Linked DNA regions of Xenopus tropicalis. The protein of the gene in region 2 interacts with the protein of the main gene of each other region in a pairwise test. Links are inferred from orthologs where the notes say so. Each region holds a gene or a part of one and is shown on either strand. Other genes may lie near its edges. The genes, in order: mybpc3, trim63, pdhb, gmeb1, uqcrc1, tcap and sqstm1.

Evidence for each region.
Region 1: the proteins of trim63 (region 2) and mybpc3 interact in a two-hybrid assay, tested with the Homo sapiens proteins (2 studies listed by BioGRID and IntAct). The link is inferred for Xenopus tropicalis from reciprocal best matches to the Homo sapiens genes TRIM63 and MYBPC3.
Region 3: the proteins of trim63 (region 2) and pdhb interact in a two-hybrid assay, tested with the Homo sapiens proteins (2 studies listed by BioGRID). The link is inferred for Xenopus tropicalis from reciprocal best matches to the Homo sapiens genes TRIM63 and PDHB.
Region 4: the proteins of trim63 (region 2) and gmeb1 interact in a two-hybrid assay, tested with the Homo sapiens proteins (2 studies listed by BioGRID and IntAct). The link is inferred for Xenopus tropicalis from reciprocal best matches to the Homo sapiens genes TRIM63 and GMEB1.
Region 5: the proteins of trim63 (region 2) and uqcrc1 interact in a two-hybrid assay, tested with the Homo sapiens proteins (2 studies listed by BioGRID and IntAct). The link is inferred for Xenopus tropicalis from reciprocal best matches to the Homo sapiens genes TRIM63 and UQCRC1.
Region 6: the proteins of trim63 (region 2) and tcap interact in a two-hybrid assay, tested with the Homo sapiens proteins (3 studies listed by BioGRID and IntAct). The link is inferred for Xenopus tropicalis from reciprocal best matches to the Homo sapiens genes TRIM63 and TCAP.
Region 7: the proteins of trim63 (region 2) and sqstm1 interact in a two-hybrid assay, tested with the Homo sapiens proteins (2 studies listed by BioGRID and IntAct). The link is inferred for Xenopus tropicalis from reciprocal best matches to the Homo sapiens genes TRIM63 and SQSTM1.

Annotation. Positions count from the first base shown.
Region 1 is NC_030680.2:15,840,835-15,845,026, forward strand, and holds the start of mybpc3 (myosin-binding protein C, cardiac-type), read right to left. Parts: upstream 2,801-4,192; 5' UTR 2,697-2,800; coding exon 2,672-2,696; intron 1-2,671. UniProt on the Homo sapiens protein: Thick filament-associated protein located in the crossbridge region of vertebrate striated muscle a bands. In vitro it binds MHC, F-actin and native thin filaments, and modifies the activity of actin-activated myosin ATPase.
Region 2 is NC_030678.2:76,882,553-76,884,832, forward strand, and holds part of trim63 (E3 ubiquitin-protein ligase TRIM63), read right to left. Parts: intron 1,551-2,280; coding exon 1,528-1,550; intron 1,087-1,527; coding exon 962-1,086; intron 125-961; coding exon 59-124; intron 1-58. UniProt on the Homo sapiens protein: E3 ubiquitin ligase. Mediates the ubiquitination and subsequent proteasomal degradation of CKM, GMEB1 and HIBADH.
Region 3 is NC_030680.2:148,523,371-148,525,538, reverse strand, and holds the end of pdhb (pyruvate dehydrogenase E1 component subunit beta, mitochondrial), read left to right. Parts: coding exon 1-91; intron 92-798; coding exon 799-947; 3' UTR 948-1,668; downstream 1,669-2,168. UniProt on the Homo sapiens protein: The pyruvate dehydrogenase complex catalyzes the overall conversion of pyruvate to acetyl-CoA and CO(2), and thereby links the glycolytic pathway to the tricarboxylic cycle.
Region 4 is NC_030678.2:78,408,554-78,412,604, reverse strand, and holds the start of gmeb1 (glucocorticoid modulatory element-binding protein 1), read right to left. Parts: upstream 2,801-4,051; 5' UTR 2,773-2,800; coding exon 2,645-2,772; intron 1-2,644. UniProt on the Homo sapiens protein: Trans-acting factor that binds to glucocorticoid modulatory elements (GME) present in the TAT (tyrosine aminotransferase) promoter and increases sensitivity to low concentrations of glucocorticoids. Also binds to the transferrin receptor promoter.
Region 5 is NC_030680.2:153,046,311-153,049,407, forward strand, and holds the end of uqcrc1 (cytochrome b-c1 complex subunit 1, mitochondrial), read right to left. Parts: intron 864-3,097; coding exon 788-863; intron 699-787; coding exon 634-698; 3' UTR 501-633; downstream 1-500. UniProt on the Homo sapiens protein: Component of the ubiquinol-cytochrome c oxidoreductase, a multisubunit transmembrane complex that is part of the mitochondrial electron transport chain which drives oxidative phosphorylation.
Region 6 is NC_030686.2:9,928,860-9,932,831, reverse strand, and holds tcap (telethonin), read left to right. Parts: upstream 1-1,172; 5' UTR 1,173-1,252; coding exon 1,253-1,395; intron 1,396-2,106; coding exon 2,107-2,524; 3' UTR 2,525-3,511; downstream 3,512-3,972. UniProt on the Homo sapiens protein: Muscle assembly regulating factor. Mediates the antiparallel assembly of titin (TTN) molecules at the sarcomeric Z-disk.
Region 7 is NC_030679.2:22,202,840-22,206,869, forward strand, and holds the start of sqstm1 (sequestosome-1), read right to left. Parts: upstream 2,801-4,030; 5' UTR 2,465-2,800; coding exon 2,275-2,464; intron 923-2,274; exon of another isoform or gene 485-922; intron 1-484. UniProt on the Homo sapiens protein: Molecular adapter required for selective macroautophagy (aggrephagy) by acting as a bridge between polyubiquitinated proteins and autophagosomes.

The DNA.
Region 1 (4,192 bases), on a different chromosome or scaffold from region 2:
AATGTATTATAAAACAGTATGCTGATCACATTTTATTGACTATGGGAGGGCTTGTAACTTGTCGTGAAGGCATCTCCTTGCCCTCTTTGAAGGAATGATCTCGCCTTGCCTCGTGGCTGAAACATATATATTAGTAGTAGCAGGGAGCAAGGATCGCATATGCTGTAATCCCTATATCCCCATTGACCATACTAGTAAGTGATCTTCTGGACAATTTATAAGAGGACTTTTTGGGAAGAAAATTGCAGTGCTAAATCTCCTCCTCACCATTTCCCAAAGGTCTGTGATCTGTATATAACCAAGTATTTAGGACTTGGCATTTCTGTATCCCCCATTAGAATCTGTCTGTGACAAAGCAGCAATGAGGACAACACGTATGTCACGATGAGATTCATGCAGGGCAGGTGGAACACATACAGACTCACCACCCCCCAGCCTGAAACATAGGCAAGCCAAGAGAGAGTGCTACATGTCAGTTGGGTTTTATTGCAGGACACTAAACACTGAGGCAGGTGTTGGGTTTTGGACAATGGAAGATCCACTTTGCACCAATGTATACACTTTAACCTGTTCAACTACAACTCTAAGAATCGTACATAGATGTTGGTTGCTGCTGGGGTGCTGGGAGTTGTAGTTTAGTAAGAGCTGGACTAAGCTTACCAGTTGGAGAGCTGTCTCCTGTGGGTCACAGGAGAAGCTATCATTATAAATAGGTAACCTCTAATGCTTTAGAGAAGCTTCTTTCAAGGTTGCTAGGTGGCCCCACCAATGCTAGTAGATAAATGAATGAAAAGATACATGAATGTTGATCCTAGATTTTGGTTTAAACCTGCATTTTAACAACAAGCAAACAGCCACAGAACTCCCTAAAATATCTAGGGCCATTTTCCCTAAAAAGACCACCCCTGTCAATCCCCCTCTTTTGTTGTCAGTAAATACTAAAACAACTATGGGATCCCAGGGATCCTCTAGCCCTTGTGGATGTAAGAGATGGGGGGGCTCTAAATTGGGGGATGATGGAATATAAACTGTAAATGGTATAAAGGGTAAGAGGGGTCAATGTGGGTAACCATTAAGTAACCATTAAGACTATTGCACACCCATTGCTTGCACCATGACCTTGATGACATTTGCAATGTAGGACACCCATTCCCCTTCGTAGGGCAGCTGTGAACAAGCATTTTAGCTATACTTAAGCACAGTGGTATGGAAGAATCCAAACAAAGCTCACAGACTCATGGGAAATTGCGCTGGGTCAGCAATAAGGGAATCAGGGCTTTGCTCCTACTTGACTGCCTTTGATGGCGAGTAAGAGTCATCGGCTTTTGCATTTGTTCCTTACAGCTCAGGTCACAAGAGCAATCAATTCCCTATTAGTCCCAGCCAAAAATAAGCAGAGTTCCATCCAATGTTCATCTGAGGCATGGGATGTACAACCATAAAGTAGGTGCTACAAGCCCCCTGCCTGTTTTCTCGGCATTGATGGCATTAAACTGCTTCCCTAACACAAGTAACATGTTCTTCCTGCAACTTCCCTAAACTCGATAGATAGATAGAGATAGATAGATAGATAGATAGATAGATAGATAGATGATAGATAGATAGATAGATAGATAGATAATAGATAGATAGATAGATAGATAGATAGATAGATGCTTTACTGTCCCTTTAAGCAATTCATAATTACAGTAGCTAAGATAAGCTACAGGCCAAGCTGGCATTCATCTAGGTCATATGTCATTCTCACATTGCTGAGTGTCATGCCCCCTCAGTGTGCAGAGCCAGCTGGCATATTCTCGGAAATACAAAACAAAATGCCTGGAAATGATCATTGTCACTCTGTTGAAGTCAATTGTATAACTTTCCGCCATGCCTCTGGCACCTTAATACATGAACTCATAGATGTTGATATATAATAGATAGATAGATGGATAGATAGATATATAGATAATAGATAGATGATAGATAGATAGATAGATAGATAGATAGATAGATGATAGATAGATTCCCCTATATTAAAGAAAATGGACCTCTAACTATGACCCATAATTAAAGTCCTTTTGCCAGATAAATAGACCAATCCAGCTGCCTACTAATCAATAGAAAGGTCTGGCAGTTGATGAAAGACTGAGTTATGGATTGATAGGTAGACTTCTGTTTAATAGGTAAGTAGTTACTGGGGGTACATTGATGACACACATATACTAGCACAGACATGTAAAATGTCCTTCTATCCAGGTATTGTGAACTGAACCCAATATCTAAGGATGATGGCAGTTGTTTATGGCACTGCTTTTCATTGGCCACTAGTCGGACAGCCCTATTTTATTCCATCTAAAGAGATGATGATCCTGTGGTATAGAGACAGGTAGATACAAGATGGATATACTAATGGAAAAAAAACATTCATTTGCATAGATGTGCCCTAGTTAAATGATAAGGAGACTGCTGGGTGTTAGACATAGGGGTAAGTATATGGTCCATTCATATTGTAGGTAGAGCTGTAGATGAAAATTCCTGTGATTACTCAGTACCAGCCACCTCCTTGTAATCTACCAGTTGCCCCTCCACATTGCAGCAATTACACCAGCTCTGCCATCCTGCCCCATGCCCAGCGCATATGATGCCCATACCTAGCACACCTTTACCCCCATCACTTGCCCCATCCTACCTGATTTCTTGACAGGCTCAGGCATCCTAGCTCAGCCTGCTTGGCGGAAGAACCCAAATGCTAACTAGACAATTTTCAGCAGTAGTTCCAGACCAGTACCGGGTTGGAACTGGAATGAAGCTGTGGGATTTTTACAGACCCCCTTAAAGAATGGCAGATAGGGAGAAGCTTTCGGTGCTCCACCCCCACACTCCCTCCTGTTGTCACTCGCTCCTGTCACCTCTCTGACAGCAGACCTCACTTGACAGAATATTTCAGCCGGGATAAATATAGCCCAGCATCCCGGGTCCTGTTGTCTGGCCCCTACTGCTTTTTTACTGCCCCATATAACTGTCTCCCATGCCAGCCATTGTTTTACTGCTTTGCCCTGTCGTTACTGCCCTTCTCATGCCCGGCCTAATTTTTATTCTTTATATGGCCCTTGCCGGTAGCACCCTGCCATGTTCTATTGTAAAACACCACAAGGCCTCCATTTCCCAGACAAAATTTTCCCCACAACAAAAATGGCTGCCCTATAGCCTGTCCAAGTCAGGAAACAGATTAAAGCGGACCTGTCACCCTAAGAAACAATTCCAGATGCTTTTGTATCATATTAGTAGAGCAAAATAAACTTTACTTACACTATATAAATGATTGAATTTCTTTTTCCTTCAGTCTTTTACAATCACAGCCAGCAGGCCGGCGCCATTTTGTGGGCACTGTTATTAAGACGAGCTTTGTTTCACCCCCAAATCTTATGCAATTGCCATCTAGGTGATATCTAGGAAGTGCTGAATGGAAAGTTAAACTTATTGTAATTAAAAATCTGAGCTGTCAATCATAAATTGCCTGCAATATATGATCAACAGCTCAGATTTTTAAATACATTTATAACAGGTATGGATGATTTAATTAAAAAAGAATTTGGGTTTCATGTTTAATTTTGAAAGGACTTTTATTATACAGCTTTGTATGTGTGGGTGACAGGTCCCCCTTAACATGGCTGACTGGAATAGATTCAGTCATCATCTTTATATAATTTCCATACAGTTTTCCTTTACTCCTTTTGATGTCTACACCATTGGTTGCTAGGCAACATGTTTTTCCACAAAGACAAACAACCATGTTTTAACCAACAAGCTTTGCTGGTTACCCCATAGCAACCAAACAAATACTTACTCCTGACTACATTACATTAACCTCAGTCTCGTATATATCTTTCAACTGAGCAAGTAAAAGCCAGATATTTCCTTTATTGAACCATAATTCCCAGCAGCCCCTGACAGCCTCAGAAAATTGTAGGCCAAACATAATGAGAGGGACCTACTGGACTGACATATCTTAATCCCAGCTAATTAGCAACTGGCCTAGTTCCGTCAATACTATTTAGTCCCAAAATTCGCCCTACCTAAAAGTATCTGCTGCTGCTAAAAGTAGCCATTAGTAAAAGTAGTTCCTGCTTCTAAATCAGAAGTCTGGACTTGATTGACAGGTTAACAAGGAACCATAAAAAGTCACCTCAGATTTTAGTGCTGCAGCCAG
Region 2 (2,280 bases):
ACCATGACCTTTGTTATAGAGACATATGTGTAAATTTGTCTATGACAAATGTTCTTACCTTCAAGTGTTTCTTCTTCAGTTTCTTCATATTCCTCTATATCATCTTCCTCATCTTCATCACAGTCTGTAAAAAATAACATTTAGCGGTACAGTACTTCCCAAATGGCTGATACAGCATTCTCATTAGTCTATTTTGATGCAGTTATGGGTTTCCTCTAACAGGTTCTCAAAATCACTGACCAAAGAAAGAGTGTATTTTACATTTGTTCCATGGTGACAAATATCTACCTTTTGACTAGATATGTTAAATAAACCCAATGACAAAATCAGTCTGTCTTTATTTTTTTTCAGTATTTGATTTTTTTTAATTTATACTACTACTACTTGGTGAGTGTTTTATTTACTGTTGCTTTTTTGTGCCTTTATTTTTGGTTTCGATAAAAAGCATGTAATGGTAGTTCAACTTTACATAAACTTTAACTATGATTGAACAGATATTTTGATGAGTGACAATTGTCTGAGACAATTTGCAATTGGTCTTCATTTTTCATCTGCTTGCTTTTGTCCCATTTCCCTAGCAACCAGGCAGTGGCTTAAATTAAGACTTCAAGATAAAGATATAGGTGAGGGTCTGAATAGAAAGTTATGTAATGGATAGTGATAGAAATAACAAAAAAAAAATGCAGCCTCGCAGAGCAATAGTTTTTTTTCTTTTTTACTTTTTTTCAGTGAACCCCATTTGAAAGCTGGAAAAAGACAGAAAGCAGCAAATAATTGTCCTACTTTTTTATTTAATTTACATTACTTGAAATAATTTTTGTAACTGATTTACTTTAAGAAAATTCCTTTGTAGACTGTATTTGTTTTAAACAATGATGACTATATTCTTATTATCAAATGCTATTGTCACCCCAAATCCTGCATTAAACAAGATCCTTTCCAACCATGATTCTCAGCTCACTTGGAGTGAAGTCAATGCTTCTCAGACACTGGCTGACATGTTCCATATCCAGGGTGAACTGGTCCATATTTTCAAATCCATGATCAGTCTTCTCCAATTGGCAGCCTTTGGATGCTTCCATTAGCCTGCAAATACAAGAGTTAACATTTAAATAAGCTGAACAGCACTCTGAACAGCTGCATTCTTAGATATCCCTAACATAATATAATAAAATAAAAATGGGCAAAATTTGCCCAAGTATAATGACCCATAGCAACAAATCAAAAGCAATGCTTGCTTTTGCATCAGACATGTATTTGACAAATAAATGCTACCTGCTGATACGACTCCTTGCACTAATTGCCATTCTACAACTTCCTCTTATGTCACCTCCCCATGTTTCTTTCTATAGCCCTTCCTTACTGCTGGATCCTTTGAATGTTTTCATTTTTTTTTACTAGTTGCTTCTCTGAGCAAAAGGCACACTGGTATTGTTTTATTATGAACTCGATATGGCTGAATCACCAGTTCATGCAGTAGGTAACAATCATATGATTTTCATGCTTTGGATCTGGAATGTTACTTACTTTTTAATAAGCTGTTTGGACTCCTGTAGGAAAACAGCAGAAAAGAAAAGGTTTAGCACAGCATAAGAGAGGTACAACATAAGAAATAGAAAATGTTTAAACTAAATTAGACCGCTATAAATGGATTTTTAAAGGATAAATTTATAAGACACAGGCAATTTGTATTTCCTGGATTTAATTTACACTATATTTGGGGTGTGTTGACCTATTATGCTCTGATTGTGTTGAAAGCTGTATTAACCTTTTAAAACTGTGGTGTCACATACTCTGGGTAGGTACATAGGTACATTTAATACTCTGTGAGCAGCATCGCAATATACTGTTCTTGCAAGTTGGATGCAGGGGGTATTCTGCCCAATTGGCTGGCACTGTTTGCATTGTGGCTTAATCTGCTTGACAACTTCCCTGAATAAATACAATAGAAGGCCTATTTATAAAGACGAGTAAAATATTTTATGCCCTTGTTTTTTGACCCCCCTTCCCTCTTGCCTTCTGTATCCCCCATATTATATGTTTGAAAATAAAGAATATTTAAAAAAATATATATTTTATGCCAAAAAAGTCATACAAAATATAACGTGTATTTCTAAGGTTCTTTTGTTGCCTTTACAGCAAAAATTTTTGGCATAAAAAGAGCCAGATCTGTTTAAAATGCAGTGGCACTTAAAGGAACAGTAACACCAAAAAATGAAAGTGTATAAAAGTAATTACAATATAATGTACAGTTGCCCTGCATTGCTACAACTGGTGTGT
Region 3 (2,168 bases), on a different chromosome or scaffold from region 2:
AGCGTTGTGAAAACAAACCATCTGGTGACAGTAGAAGGCGGTTGGCCACAGTTTGGCGTAGGCTCTGAAATCTGTGCCAAGATCATGGAAGGTCGGTGCATCTCTGTGTCTCTGTCTCATTGGCTAATGATTTTATTCTATGTATTCTGAGGCTTCCCTCTTGTAAATAGAATGGGAGGTGGGCTCCTGGGGGGTTTGATAAGAAATTTTGTTTGCAGATACAAATTACTGGAATGTGATCTGTTTATGAAACAACAGACAAACATGTCTGCACAGACTCACCCCCTCTTAGGTGCCTTCACATAAGCCTGGGAAATAGGCCGGAGATGGGTGCTGGCCAAATCAGCACAGTGCTCCAACACTGCCTTACTGCAACACCATAAAAAAAGAAAGCAATATCTTCTCGCCCCCATCAGCCGATCAGCAGAACAATGGGAAGGGAGCAAGATAGCAGCTCCCAGTAGGTATCGGAATAGCACTCAATAGTAAGAAATCCAAGTCCGGCTTGAGACTCCTCCAGTTACATGGGAGTAGGAGAAACAATAGGTTAGCTGAAAGCAGTTCTAATGAGTAGCGCTGGCTGAAAGCTCAGACTCGGGCACAAGGCACTGAGATGGCGCCTACACACCAATATTACAGCTACAAATACATTTGTTGGTTGAAGAATAAAAGGTTAAATGGCAGAGGGAATTATTTGCTGTGTAACAGTGTCATTTAGAGATAAAAAGTGCCCCATAAACATCATGGCAGTGTCCCTATCCCCCCTCTAATTGTTGCAATGGTTCATTCCATTCCCAGGGCCAGCATTCAATTACCTTGATGCGCCAGTGGTCCGTGTGACTGGCACTGATGTCCCGATGCCTTACGCCAAGATCCTGGAAGAGAACTGCGTCCCTCAAGTGAAGGATATTATATTTGCAGTAAAGAAGACTCTGAATCTCCTGTAGGCGGATCCGGCATGGGAACACTTTATAGGAGGGTCATTTACATTTTAATGGGCGACTTGTTATCCTATGAACAGAGAGGATTCTGCTTCCTGCAGACTGAACTGCGACTGCAACATTTGTACTTTATAAATGGTTCTTGGAAGCTGCCTTATGTGCGAATTGTGTCCTAGTTACCCTTTCCCTGGGCAGCGTCCCCTTAATCACTCCCCCGCGGGTCATCTGTGCCATTTGTGTCCTCTATGGAGAAACCAGTTACAAGGAGGGACTGTTCAACTCTATTAGTCGTCCCTGAACCCAAAAATACTTCCCACAGTCCTGTCACTAGTTAAAGGGCCAATTCACCTTTAAATTATTCTTGTGTATGTTGTGGTTTTTGTTCTAGTTGCTATGGTCCATTTTGCCCTAGCAACCAGGCAGCGGTTTAAGTCAGAGACTGGAAGATCAGTGGGAGAAGCCTGAACAGGCTAACGGAATAAAAAGTAACAATAAAATTGTAGCCTTATAGAGTGTTTTGGCTGCCGGGGTCAGTGACCCAAATTTGAAAGCTGAAAAGTGACAGAAGAAAATGATTTAATAACTATAAAATGAAGAGACGTTAGCAAGTTGATAAGGACATTCTATAGTATACTAAAGTATATTTATAGGTGAACTTCCCCTTTAATGTCATTTCTGCAACATTTCTTCCTCTCTGGGGGGAATAAACCATTTTATCCACTGGAAAGTCTTTGTATTACCTGTGCCCGGAACCCCCTATATCCACACTGGTGTCCCACAGAGCCGGGTAGGAATAATAATAATAATATTATAATAAGAAATAGGAGCATTGAATGTTTCTTGCACAGGAAGCCAAAGTAAGAACTGCCATATGGCTACGTAACATCTGATTGGCTACTCGCTCTGCATGTCTAATACACAATGGGTGGAGTTGTAAAATCATTGCTCTTCTCCTTGGTTCTGATGGGGTTAATAGGGGGTTTAGGTGGAAAATGTCGTTTAATTCCTCTCCTGGACCTTAATTATCCAATTGAGCTAATGAAATTGTATGATTGCTTTAGTCAAGATGAGCTCCTCCTCCAAAAGGCCCCTATGATGCCCTCTATAGGGGGGGGGGGGTGAAGGCTGCACCCCAAACCTGCCCATGGTTCCAATTCTTCAATGTTTTACATCCCCCAACTGGCTGCCACACAGAACAAATATTTATATAAATGCACTGGATTCTGA
Region 4 (4,051 bases), about 1.5 Mb from region 2:
TTACGCCAGATGTAACGGGACACGCACCTTCCAAAAAGTTCAACTTTTGTCTCGTCGGTCCACAAGGTATTTTCCCAAAAGTCTTGGCAATCATTGAGATGTTTTTTAGCAAAATTGAGACAAGCCTTAATGTTCTTTTTGCTTAAAAGTGGTTTGCGCCTTGGAAATCTGCCATGCAGGCCGTTTTTGCCCAGTCTCTTTCTTATGGTGAGTCGTGAACACTGACCTTAATTGAGGCAAGTGAGGCCTGCAGTTCTTTAGATGTTGTCCTGGAGTCTTTTGTGTCCTCTCGGATGAGTTGTCTCTGCGCTCTTGGGGTAATTTTGGTCGGGCGGCCACCCCTGGGAAGGTTCACCACTGTTCCATGTTTTTGCCATTTGTGGATAATGGCTCTCCCTGTGGTTCGCTGGAGTCCCAAAGCTTTAGAAATGGCTTTATAACCTTTACCAGACTGATAGATCTCAATTACTTTTGTTCTCATTTGTTCCTGAATTTCTTTGGATCTTGGCATGATGTCTAGCTTTTGATGTGCTTTTGGTCTACTTCTCTGTGTCAGGTAGCTCCTATTTAAGTGATTTCTTGATTGAAACAGGTGTGGCAGTAATCAGGCCTGGGGGTGACTACAGAAATTGAACTCAGGTGTGATAAACCACAGTTAAGTTATTTTTTAACAAGGGGGGCAATCACTTTTTCACACAGGGCCATGTAGATTTGGAGTTTTTTTCTCCCTTAATAACGTAAACCTTCATTTAAAAACTGCATTTTGTGTTCAATTATGTTATCTTTGACTAATAGTTAACGGTTTTTGATGAGCAGAAACATTTAAGTGTGACAAACATGCAAAAGAATAAGAAATCAGGAAGGGGGCAAATAGTTTTTCACACCACTGTATATGTATATAAACAAAGCCATGACTTGATAAAATTCTACTGTGTTTCAGTGGTAGAAACACTTTTTAAATACCAAATTCAAGTTAATTAACGGAACACATGGCCATTCACTTACATTTGGAAAACATAGCTTAAAGCCAATTGAGATCCCAATTGGCTGATTTAATAAAGTTCAGATTGATGTTCATTTGAAAACGACGGTAGAAATAGTAGAAATATTAGGTTTACTACCTAATATTTCTACTATTTCTACCGTCGTTTTCAAATGAACATCAATCTAAACTTTATTAAATCAGCCAATTGGGATCTCAATTGGCTTTAAGCCAATTGAGATCCGGAGAAATTTGAGAAAGTCTGGGGGTCATGGATAGAATCTGAAGATATGCATTTCTGCCTACTTTGGTGACCCTTCTCAATTTTTCCCCACACACCAGACAAACCAAATACTATATCCCACAAACCCCAATGTGATGATATGAATGTATTTTATAATGTATATTGTTAATGATACTGCAGCATTGGTTAGATATACTTAATGTTAAGTTTACTGTTCTCGTTTTTTATGTAACACTGATTTTTTTAATAAAAAGAAAAGAAATATTAGGCTTTTCCTTGACTTTGTCCTGCAGTTCACCTACCTGTTCCTATTTTTCACATCCATTTTCCATTTTTTCCCTAAAAACATTTGCCTGCTCTGAGGTGGAGTTACATTATTACCTCTAAAGTTGCAGGAAGTTTCCAAGCATTCTATAAAAATGTTGACTGGAAACATTGCAGAGAATGTTTTTGTGGCATCTATATGGAATGCTAGCTTGGGACAGAGTACATTTTGACAAGTTTTTAGCATAGGAAAACATTGGATAGTAAAAAAATTACACACAAAAAATATTTTACTTCAATATGAGAAAAAGTCAAGATTCAGAAATTATACCCTAGATTTTTTTTTATGCGAGACACTGGTGCTAATTTATTAATACTGAGCAAATTAGCACCTGGGCAGTAACCAATGGCAACCAATCAAATGTTTCTTTTACTGTTCTACTTATGCCTATCTGAAAAGAAGCTAAATACTTTTATTGGTTGCTATGGGTTACTGCCTAGATTCAGTAAGCACAAGCCTTTGCAAAATAAAGGCAAACCACTGTTCAACTTCTGAAACCTTGTTATTTACCTTCAAACATCTTTCGCATTGTGGGAGTTTTAAGATAATAATTACAAAGTTACAGGGATTTTTAGAAGTGTATTTATCAAATGGTGAGTTCTAACTTTCACCGATAAATACGCTTCTAAATCCCATAGGTATGAATAGAAAACGGGTGATTTTTATGAATTAACCACTCATTAACTCACATTTTGATAAATCTGCCAACCAAATGAATTGTTTTTGCATCCAAACAAATTTGTTTATGACGGCATTATGTTAGTACAACAAAAAATTAAGAGTAAATACTCATTATCCATCTTTGCTGAAATGATTACTTAGGGACTAGGATTGACCAGTTTGGCAGCTCATCTGCCAATGTATGGGCACCCCCGATGGGCCTATCTGACCAACATCTGGCCTAAAACTGTCCAGATCTCAATGGGGCAGGTTTAATTTTCTGTCGAATTAGGGGACTGCATCGGCTCATTGTTGCGGCCCTCGGTCTGATGGCGCCTTGGTCCTAGGGCCGATATTGCCCACCTTAGGTGGGCTTATTGAAAGAAGAGCTGCTTGAGCAGATCACAATGTGCACGGCCACCTGTACACTTACCCATGAGGTATGGGCTGCAACTGCAGGATCACCTGTGTCTTGGTATCCTCTGGATCTTCCCCCTCAGTGCAGTCACTGGGAATCACAACCACATCCCCCATGGGGACTGTCACCTCAGCATTGGCCATTAGTTACACAGATTGTGCAGTGTTACTCCACAACCTAATTCATCCAAGAAAAAAAAAGAGCAAGTTATATTGCATGGTCTAGTGTATATAAAGATAGCAGCACATATGGACAATGCATTGAGCAGCATTTATTGCCATATAAGCAAACAACAGTGTTTGGTCTATCATATAATTCTGGTGTGGGAGGAAAGCAGGATCTTTTTTGTATGTTTTTAAACATAACCTAAGTAATAATAGTTTTAATTATCTCCAGCACAAAAAAAGTGTGTTGTTTTTCTTTGTTGATTCGTGTCCACCACACCTTTGCACTTGTAGGATTTCTCAGCTGAGCCATGGTAACTTCTACTTATTTTAGGGGAAACCTGTGTGAATTTGCTTTTGTTTCTGACAGCACTACAAAACAATGCAAGAAGGTTAACAATTTGCTACTTGGCAAATAATACTTCATGCCAATGTTATCAATTGGTATGAAAGAAAGTAGGGAAACAAGTCTCTTTTTTTTTCCTTTTAAAGGTGGCAACCCCATCTGATGAAGAGACATAACAATATGGCAGTTATGTGAATATGAGAGGAGTCTCTCATAGATGCACTGCAGATGCACCCCTAGTAGGTCCCCCACTGATCTGCTCATTGTTAAGTGATTATCAGACCTTTTGCAAACTTTAATTTGTTTTAGTTTACCCTATTTGATTGTAAGCCCAGCTTAGGCAAGTACTGATAGGATGTAAATAATAAACAATCTCCATAAACACGTATAACATGCCTGCATCATGCAAATAAAGGAAAATTAAAAAATTATAATTGGCACCATATTCCTTTAAATAGCACCTACCATCCCAATAGGCACATTTTATAGACTTAACCTACTACAGTATAACAGGTAATTATCCATTCTCATAGAGACGCAACTCGACATAAAACAGCTACAACTCGTTTTTAAAACTAACAAACGCCGAACTTTTTAGTTTCAATATATTTATCATTCAAATCTTTGGAAATTCCTAAACAAAGCGTTTACGCTCGCTGGCGAACTTTACAGCAGCTGTACTGCGCAAGCGCACCTTTCCACAATTCAGACACTTCCGTATGGTTAAAGCGGCGCGCATGCGCAAAGAGAATTTAATTTAGTACTCAACCTTTAGGTGTTGAGAGACTGCAACACCCAGCATTCCCCGCTAAGAAGCTTGCAGTACTTTATAGTCTTAAAGAGCTGAAAGGCAATGGCTGCATAGTCAATAAAGAAAAATAATTTATAGTCAGTGAGAGAAAAAGTTGCCGA
Region 5 (3,097 bases), on a different chromosome or scaffold from region 2:
GCCTATGGGAAGCCACCTAGTGAGCATGCCCAGTTCAGTCTATTGCATTTACTAGACAGAGCATTGCTCTCACAAGGGGTAACTATGTGTATTGTGTCACTATGGGGTCTGGCTCTGTGTGCCCTCACAATAGGGGCAATTACATGGGGAGGGCCAGACAGAGCCGGCTGGCTACACACAATACACACCTAGATGAGATTAACCTACACAATGCATTTGTACAACAGGTAGGAGGGGGGCAGGGGGTACATTTCAGCATAAACAGAAATATCTAATAGTTTCATCCAACTTATACAGTTTGTTATGTCACACTATATATATTATATACTGTATATAGTCTCTATAAGCCACACCCTATCTACTATATATATTTAGTCTCTATAAGCCACACCCTATCTATATATATATATATATATATATATATATATATATATATATATATATTTTTATTTATTATGCAATAAAAACAAAAGCCATGAAGGGAAGACAAACCAGCAGAATTGTGTACATTTAAATTACATTTATTAACTCTTTCTGATGTTGCTGTCGGAAACACAAGGGTTAACTGGTAGCGAATGGGCAGAGATGCGCATCTCCTCTCTGTCGGTTGGTTCAGCCGCTGGGTGGGCGGAGCTAGAAGCGCAGCCAATACATGGCACTGCGGATCCGGTTATAGTCGGGGATCTGCTCAATGGGCCCTGGGGGAGGAAGACAAAGGTGGTTACCGGCAGGGAACCAATCAGAGCGGCTCCGTGAGAGAGGGACACGGGGGGGGGGAGAGACTTACCCACTCCGGCTACGGCGGGGCACTTGTCGTACAGGTACTTGGAGCAGATCTCACTCACTTTCTTAGCACTCACAGCCTGTCAGGGGGGGAAGAGAAGGCAGATTGGCTCAGCCAATGGGAACAGAGCAAAGGGGCCGGCCCCTTACAGTTTGGCTTTATGGAGCCCCACCCAATCTATTTAATATGTAGGAAATAGTAATAAGGGAATATGTCACTAGGGCACATTGGCAGGGTAACAAGGCATTTACTGCCCCACCCTCTATGGGCCCAGATGGGGGGGGTAATGCCCATTGTTACTGCCCCACCCTCTATGGGCCCAGATGGGGGGGGGTAATGCCCATTGTTACTGCCCCACCCTCTATGGGCCCAGATGGGGGGGTAATGCCCATTGTTACTGCCCCACCCTCTATGGGCCCAGATGGGGGGGTAATGCCCATTGTTACTGCCCCACCCTCTATGGGCCCAGATGGGGGGGGTAATGCCCATTGTTACTGCCCCACCCTCTATGGGCCCAGATGGGGGGGGGTAATGCCCATTGTTACTGCCCCACCCTCTATGGGCCCAGATGGGGGGGTAATGCCCATTGCTACTGCCCCACCCTCTATGGGCCCAGATGGGGGGGTAATGCCCATTGTTACTGCCCCACCCTCTATGGGCCCAGATGGGGGGGTAATGCCCATTGTTACTGCCCCACCCTCTATGGGCCCAGATGGGGGGGTAATGCCCATTGCTACTGCCCCACCCTCTATGGGCCCAGATGGGGGGTAATGCCCATTGTTACTGCCCCACCCTCTATGGGCCCAGATGGGGGGGTAATGCCCATTGTTACTGCCCCACCCTCTATGGGCCCAGATGGGGGGGTAATGCCCATTGTTACTGCCCCACCCTCTATGGGCCCAGATGGGGGGGGGTAATGCCCATTGTTACTGCCCCACCCTCTATGGGCCCAGATGGGGGGGTAATGCCCATTTTTACTGCCCCACCCTCTATGGGCCCAGATGGGGGGGTAATGCCCATTGCTACTGCCCCACCCTCTATGGGCCCAGATGGGGGGCAATGCCAGGGGAGTCTGGGTAGGCCATTACTAGGAATTTAGTAGCTAGGGTCTTATGTACCCTAGTAACCAGGCTGAGGTTTGAATGAGAGACGGGTATATGAATAGGGGAGGGGCTGAATAGAAAGATAAGGAATAAAAAGTAACAATAACAATAAAACTGGAGCCTCACAGAGCAATAGGGTTTGGCTGCCGGGGTCAGTGACCCCCATTTGGAAGCTGCAAAGAGGCAGAAGAAGAAGGGAAATAACTCAAACAACTATAAGAAATATAAAATAAAAACCAATTGCAAAGTTGCTAGAAATAGGCCACTGTGTAACTAAAAGTGAACTTAAAGGTGAACAGTCCTTTTAACTCTTTTCCTGCCAAGCACGTATGACATACGTGTTTCAGAAATAAAGCCTCTCTCTGTTGGCTTTTGCCACCAGTGCAGAGAGTCCATCGCACCCCAAACCCCCCAGGCAATGAGCCAAGGGGGCTGGCAAGTCAGTCCTGCAACTTGATTGTCGCAGGACTGACTTTTAACAGCAGACAGAATGGCAGATGGCATGGTGTCTGCTGTTAGAGCTCCTCCCCCAGCCCTGCTGATCCCGCCCACCCGCTGCAGAGACTCCATCATGGGACAATGTTTACAGCCAAGGACTCTCCAGCTCACAAACAAAGTAAGTAACCTTTTTTTTTTTACCTATACACACACACATTTACCCCCACACATTTACAGTACAACACACACACACATACATTTACCCCCACACATTTACAGTACAACACACACACATACATTTACCCCCACACATTTACAGTACAACACACACACACACATACATTTACCCCCACACATTTACAGTACAACACACACACACACATACATTTACCCCCACACATTTACAGTACAACACACACACACATACATTTACCCCCACACATTTACAGTACAACACACACACATTTACAGTACAACACACACACATTTACCAACACACACACATACACACACACACACACACACACATTTACCCCCACATATTTACAGTACAACACACACATTTACAGTACAACACACACACACATACATTTACCCCCACACATTTACAGTACAACACACACACACACATACATTTACCCCCACACATTTACAGTACAACACACACACACACACATACATTTACCCCCACACATTTACAGTACAACACACACACACACACATTTACAGTACAACACACACATTTACCCACACACACACACATTTACCCACA
Region 6 (3,972 bases), on a different chromosome or scaffold from region 2:
ATCTGTTATCCAGAAGCCTGTTATCCAGAAGGCTCCAAATTACAGGAAGGCCATCTCCCATAGAATGCATTTTAAGAAAGTAACTCCCATTTTTTTCAGTGATGTCCATTTTCTCTGTAATAATAAAACAGTACCTGTACTTGATCCCAACTAAGATATAATTACCCCTTATTGGGGGCAGAACAGCCCTATTGGGTTTATTTAATGGTTAAATGATTCCCTTTTCTCTGTAATAATAAAACAGTACCTGTACTTGATCCCAACTAAGATATAATTACCCCTTATTGGGGGCAGAACAGCCCTATTGGGTTTATTTCATGGTTAAATGATTCCCTTTTCTCTGTAATAATAAAACAGTACCTGTACTTGATCCCAACTAAGATATAATTACCCCTTATTGGGGGCAGAACAGCCCTATTGGGTTTATTTCATGGTTAAATGATTCCCTTTTCTCTGTAATAATAAAACAGTACCTGTACTTGATCCCAACTAAGATATAATTACCCCTTATTGGGGGCAGAACAGCCCTATTGGGTTTATTTAATGGTTAAATGATTCTCTTTTCTCTGTAATAATAAAACAGTACCTGTACTTGATCCCAACTAAGATATAATTACCCCTTATTGGGGGCAGAACAGCCCTATTGGGTTTACTAAGATCAAGTATCAATGGATACAAAACAATCCTGTTGGGTTTAATTAATGTTTTATTGATTTTGTAGTAGGTATGGAGATCCAAATTATGGAAAGACGCCTTATCCAGAATACCCTTGGTCCTGAGCATTCTGGATAATGGGTCCTATACTTGTACTGAGCTTGCCAGCACTCTTTCTATGCCACCCAGCAGGCTATTTACCCAGCCTGGCATTCCCTAATGACAGTTCTGTCCCTAATGGGCTGCCATAAGGAGCTCTTACTGTAACATATGAGCCCTCGCATTTTCCGCTGAGACCGTGTAACCCGGTTATTGATGACAAAGCCTATAGGTATGTATCAAGCTGGGCGGCAGTGAGCAGCTTTCTGGGAAGCCCTGAGTCCCAGCTCTGTTCCATATCTGTCCCCACTGTGACTGTGCGAGGGGCAGCGCTGGGGGGGGGGGGCAGGATGACTCTTTGGGCAGATATAGAGTGTTACAAAACAGAATGAAAATAGACACAGACAAGGGTATATAAATGCGGGGAAGAGCCCTGCCTGGCAGAGCCACACACACAGGGAATCAGAGGGAGAAGCCACAGAGCTAAATCTAGAGAAACATGGTGGGAAAGCCTGGGACCCCCAAGGCCATGGGGAACGTGACTGAGCTGAGCTGCCGAGTGCAAGAGGATAACACGGCCAGGAGGGAGCACTTCTCCGCAGAATGGATAGACACCTCCATGTTCAGCCGACCAGAGGAAAGGTATGAAGGGGAGAATGGGGGGACAAGGGAGCTGGCAGTGGGGAGGGGAGGACAACTGTTACACACATGTGCTCTACCTGTTATTTTATATGCCTTTAGTTGCCCTTTAAACCAACACACACCCTAGTTTAAAGGGAAGCCATACCCCTGGCATCCCCATGTCTCTGTATTTAAAAACACATTAAATTCTCTGTGCTGATTGGTTGCTATGGGTTACTAGACCCAGACTAACCTTTGCTGTATTTATTACATTACCCCCAAGGGATTCCCGGGAACAAATTCCTTGAGGCTCCTAAAAAAAAATCCCATTTGGGTTTATCCTATAGGTTAAAGCTCACCCAATGGGTGAAGCAGAAGCCGGGGTAATAGCTGATCAGATTCCCAACTACAGACCGGTTTTGCCCTTCTTGGGGCTCATCAGTGTAGCGCAGGGTTTTCTGATCAGCTTAGGGAGAGCCAGGAGTGGGGATTCACGGACAAGTCATAAGGGTTGAGGAGACCGCCTCATACATTACCCCCCAAAGTGTTACTTTCGCTGGTTTGTTCTGCTACCCCCCAACTCTTCCTTTCCAAATCTGTCATATTACTGCATGCCCAATGCTGACACCTAAAGACTTGGCACACAGGAATAGGTACCCAAAGGGTTACAGTGTTGCTTGTGGGTATGATAAAGTATTGAGTATTAATCATTTCTTTTGCTCCCCATTTCAGCTGCAATGCCCGTGATGCCAATGTGTGGAGGAGAGAGAGTTTCCGCCAACAGGGACAGACCCGCTTCCTGGTCCAACAGTCTCCCGCACAGGTCATGAAAATGGGTCGCCTTGGCCAGAGACTCACCCAGTACCAGCTGCCCTACCAGAGAATGTTGCCTCTGCCCATCTTCAAGCCAGCAGATCTCAGCACCAAGATGGAACGCATAGCCACCCCGCCCCAGCTGCGCGGCATGATGGAGTTCGAGAGGGCGCTTAGCCACCCAGGCAATGACGGCGTCTGTCCGGATAAGAAGTCGCTCTCCCAGATCACTAAAGAGTTGCCTCCAGTCATGCAACCAGTGAGAATGGAGATGATGAAGCCAGGCCTGGCCCAGTCTTTCACAAGGTCTACGTCCCAAGAAGTCATGAGAGGGTAGAAGAGAGGAGAAGGCGAAGGGTCTAGAGGAGAGTGAAAGGTGTAGAGCAACCACCCAATCCTATCTGCTAGTCATAGATGGCCAGGTTAGAGTGCAGTGTGTGTCTGCATGGTGTCTGCTCTAGAAGGCCCCTACTTTGTATAGCTGGATTATAGGGAAACGGCCAATTGGTTCCCGGCGGCAACCTCTTCGTTGTGTTTGTAAACTGGATAGAATATTCCAGCTTGAGATTATTTGCAGAAGTTTATATGTCTTTTATCTGTAGGTCACAATTTTGGGAATGATATATGGAATGGAAGGTGGCATATGAGTAGGTGCAGGAGCTCGTTGTCCTTAGTGTAGAGTTAGGGGGGAAAAGGTAGTCATTCCCCAAGCCCAGGATGGGAGACAGGGTACTATGGCTGAATTCCCTTTTTACTAGACAACAATGGGTTCCTTGTTGCCCTGGTTTATAGTGCAATGGTTGGTGGCCAATTTAAGAAAGGTTGGAGACCCGGTTGAGCATTTCAGTCTGATCTGATCTAGAAAAGCCGCTTACAGCACTGCCAATAAGCAAGTTACCCGGGGCACTCGGCAGAGAGATTGCAGGTGAATAGTTATAATGAGGGACATAGTTTGTATAAAGCCCCAGGGTGGGGCAATGTAGGCATCAGACCCATAATGGAATGGGCTACAATATACTGTATATCCCCATCCTCTCCTACATGAAATCCAGGTGACTGAACTACCCAATGGCACGGCGGGAGCTGCCATACTTGGGCCATGGTGGCTTCTACACCTTGAGTGATGGGACAAAGAAAAACCCGTTAGGTGAAACGATGGACTGCAGATCCCTCTGCCCTTAATGGGGCTCAGATATGTTTGCACAGTTTTATATGAAAACAGATACATATTTATATTTGTACCTATGTTCTCCTTTGTCTTGGTACTAATTAAGTTCTAATGTTATTTTCTTACGTCTAATAAAATGAATGTTTCAGCCCTTTTTTTATTGTGACGCTTACATTTATATTCACAGTATAATATACACACACAAATACACACACATTGCTAGGTGTGTACACATATATATATATATATATATATATATACATAGTCAAAAGGTACCCTGATCTCAAGGGATCTGGTATTGATATGTATTGAATGTATTGCTTATGCAATGGTTACATAGTTAAGTTGGGTTGAGAAAAGACCAAAGTCCATCAAGTTCAACCATTCCAAGCAAACCCCAGTGCATTTATATACTTAGTATAAGTAAATATAATATATTAATAGTGTGTGCCATGTTTTCCCAACAATAAGAGCACATACAGAATACAACAATAACGAGTATTCCTTCATAGGTATAAACAGATATTAATTGTATCAGCCATATGTGCCACTGATATCGGTTGAAGATACCTGCTTTAAATAAGGACAACTAAGTCAAAGCAAGGTAAGGATCGGTT
Region 7 (4,030 bases), on a different chromosome or scaffold from region 2:
CTGGGAATCATTTATTAACACTGGGCAAATGGACAGTAACCCATGACAATTACATTTTTGCTTTCACTGTTCACTGTTTTGGCTGGCTAAATCAGTGATTGGTTGCTATGGACTACTGCCCACGTGCAAATTTGCCAAGTGTTGATAAATGAGCCCTATTATGTTTTGACCTTATTTAGTAACCCAAGGCTACCTGCTACTATCTAGCAGGGAAGATCTGTACCGCTGAAGATGCCTCCCATAGCTCCCCATCTTCTCTGCTGCTAATTCACAGCACATACTCTGGGGGGCTACTGTCATTTGCCTAAGCATAAGGACCCATTCACAATATACATTCTATACATTTAATATAAAAGTTACAATGAAAGTCTAATTAGTAATTAAATGAACTTCACATTAATTACACACAAGTTTAGAAACCAGTGCAACCTGAAACATCAGCTTCTGTAAAAGTTAAACTTAATTTTCTGTTTGATAATTTCAGGCAAAGCTTAATTTCTCAAAAACAGCCAAGAGCACACAGAGCAAGTGCAGTGTCACTGACACTAAACAGATGGCTTAACAAGGTCTAAGATGGTGAGCTGATCTGGAGTCCTGCATAATTCCTGTTGCCTCTGCTGTTACAACAAGTGCAGTATATAAAATACAGCATTTCAAGAGAAATTCGTTTTAGGCTAGGCGTCCTCCTTCAATGTAATACACAGCCTGGCTGAATTCTGATAAGATTGAAAAATGAAGTCTGATCTGCTGAGACTATACATTGGTGACCGTGGGAAGCTACAACCTTTGCACAGTTGCACACTATACTTCCTGTACAGGAGATTGCCTCAATGCTGTGTGAGTTGTTTCTATTATAGGTGCCATGGATCTACCACGTATTTCATTGACTAAACACTGGACAGCTATTATGGTATCTGCTAAGGTAAGGTTTAGATATCGCTCAGATTCTGCTTAATAACTCTTTAGTGCCCTCATCCTAATAACCTGCTTCCCCCAGTTTCAGTCTCTAGCTATTATTAATCAGGTCCTGGCTCGGGAAAGATGTTAACCAGATCCGGCAAGAGTGGAAATTTCCACATGTATAAAAGCCAAGAAACATTGTTATCAGCATAGTTCTGACCTACTGACAATCATCCAAACGTATCACAAAAAATACAATACAAGCCGACAAGTACAAATATATAACACAGACCTTAGACCGACAACCTTTGCCACTCCCCTTGCATAACCAGACAGCACCAACAAAACAAACACACAATGGCCCTTCCCCTTTAGCAGTGATAAAGCACGCAGCCATGTTTTTTTATAAGAAAAATACTTAAGTTGTGTACATAACCCATGCCAGTGCTTGTGTGAGCTGCAACACCCAAATCCTGGGCACACCACGGATCACTAGACAAAATTACTAACTCATCTATTAAGAAATGGTTAGAAAACTGTCTGTTATTCATTATTTAAACATTATATTCATATTGTTTTTCTAAATCAGTTTGTAGTACTAGTTATAGTACTAATATCTGCTAACAACCATCTTATATTTATTAAATGAGTCACCCATGTAGATCAATACACGAGGGTTAGGGCTACCAACAATCCAGTGAGGGCAATGTGGCTTGTGGGCTAGGTGCCTTATGCACAGATTGCCCTACCCACATTCACTGAACTTTCCTTATTATTTGGCCTCAGCGCTGTTTATTCTGCCCTAGGCAATAATATTATGCTGTGATTCACCCTGAAGCCATAACCACACTGAGATATAAACAGAATTAGTAGCTGTAGCACAAGTTTGTGTTGCTACCATCGACTGTACCCGAAGATCGTTCCTATTGTGGGTAGGCTGTGTGTGCGCTGAACAATTATTTGCACATACAAGTGTATAATGTACAGAATTTACCCCAGACACAGGCAACCTGTTGCAACTCACTACATTCTTCCAGCGTATGAGCTACAGAGGGGTGTAGTTCTGCAACACAGAGACTGGAGACTGGTTCTTACTATTATTACACATGATAAACTGGCAGTCATTCAGCATCCCCTGCTGGACATGGTATCTTCCAAGGAGATTATTTGCCCATTAGGGAGGTGGGTTTATCCTCATGCCAAGCCTCATATTACCTTGAAATTGGAAGCAAAGTGCAGGGGATATATATGCCAATATCTGCTGGCAAATATGAATGAAGGTCAGGTTTGAGGTCGGGTAATTATTAATTATATACCCATGTAACAATTATTTGATATAAGCAATTATTAGTATATAATGACTGAGCTTCCCACCTTTGTAGAACATCTGGAAGGCTCCCCCTTTGAGGCCCTGGAACACGCCAGTCACCTTGTTAGCTAGCAGCTCGCAGCTGGACACGGACGCCTTCTCTTTGCCGGCAGCCGGCAGCTCCAGCTGGAAGCGGCGGATCTCCCTGTGACTCTCATCCTTGCCCAGCAGATAGGCTTTCACGGTGACTGGCATGGTGGCACCTTGGGCACCGTATAGGCGGCGATGTCGCAGTTAGGAACAAAACAATGAGCAGAACGACTGCGCAGAAGTTTGTTATTCTGTGACTGACGGCTGAGAGCAGTCCCAGCTTTATTTATACAGCCAGCCTGGAAATCCCCACTCCTCCTTAGTCCACCCTCTACGTCCAATGTATTCCTATTAGTATCAGCCCTTTGGAACTTGCCAGACTCTTCCACTCTGCTAGCCACGCCCACCAACCTTGTGATGTCACCGTGACCTGGCAAAACAAAGGGGGAACTCCACACAGTGAGGGGACTAAAGACTACCAACTGCAGGGCAATATTACATAATAAATGACAGATTCACAGTCCTCTGAACAGTATAAAGTACAGTTTAACTGAAAAGTGTACAATAACCTCTTTTTGTGAATTTAAGGTTTTTATAAGTATAATTAAATATAATTTCTTACTCTATTCTCTGTTTATTCCACTTTTGGGATTGTAACTTCCTACACATAGGGGCACATTTACTAACCCAGGAACGCTCCAAAAGCGTTTTTTTTTCGTTATGATCAGTATTTTTGCGACTTTTTCTGCGCCATCACGACTTTTTCGTATATTCCATGACTTTTCGTCACATTACCGGAATGTTCTTTTGTGTGCAAGTGCACTGATCGAGCCCATGCAGATATGCACTGAAAGATCAAAGTCAGAAAGGTTTTCCCGGCGTTTACGATCGGTCAGTACGAAAAATTTGCAATGATGGCGACGAAAAAGTTCAGAAACTTTCGTTTCCAATCCGAATTTTTGCCGTTCGGGATTCAAATTCATGGAATAGTAAATGTGCCCCATAGTGTCTGTATCTTAATTATGGCGCCAGATGTTGAAAGACTGCAGCTCCCAGAGTGCTTTAAAACTAGACTATATGGTGAAGCGTGCAGGGAGTTATAGTCCAGCAATATATAGGAGCCCAAGCTTTGGAAACATCTAGAACAGTTGCAGATTGGGGTTGCCACCTTTGCTTTCCTATATTTTATTTTATCATTCTCCATTACAGATAACATCAAGCATAAGTTTTGCTGGACAGATGGCAACTCTATTCACAGATGGGTCACTTGCCCAGTTTGAGTTATGGTGAATTTTAACTCAAACATGACAGGAGAATGTAGGGCCAATGCCTTTAATGGTGAATATAATACAGTTGCAGCTTATGTTCCTAAGCAGACTGAGGCCTACTGTGTCGGACTGGCCCACCAGGATACCAGGAAAACTCCCGGTGGGCCGAGGGGTCAGTGGGCCCTTATTCTCCTGACCATTTGGCATACTTCAAGGTCATTTGCTATTTCTGAATGGGAAGAAAGAGGAGAAATAAATGGAAGGATAGATGTAAATAAAAGAGACTAGGAGAATAAAGAGGTTGGGTGAGGAAAGGAGGAAATATAGTTTGGAGAGTGGGCCTAGGGTCCAAGGTTTTCTGGTGGGCCCCTGGGGTCCCAGTCCAACACTGCCTACTGTAGCTGGAACAGCTGCTTACACATGAAATTGGATGGCAGGGCTAACATGGGCATTCAGAAGTTGA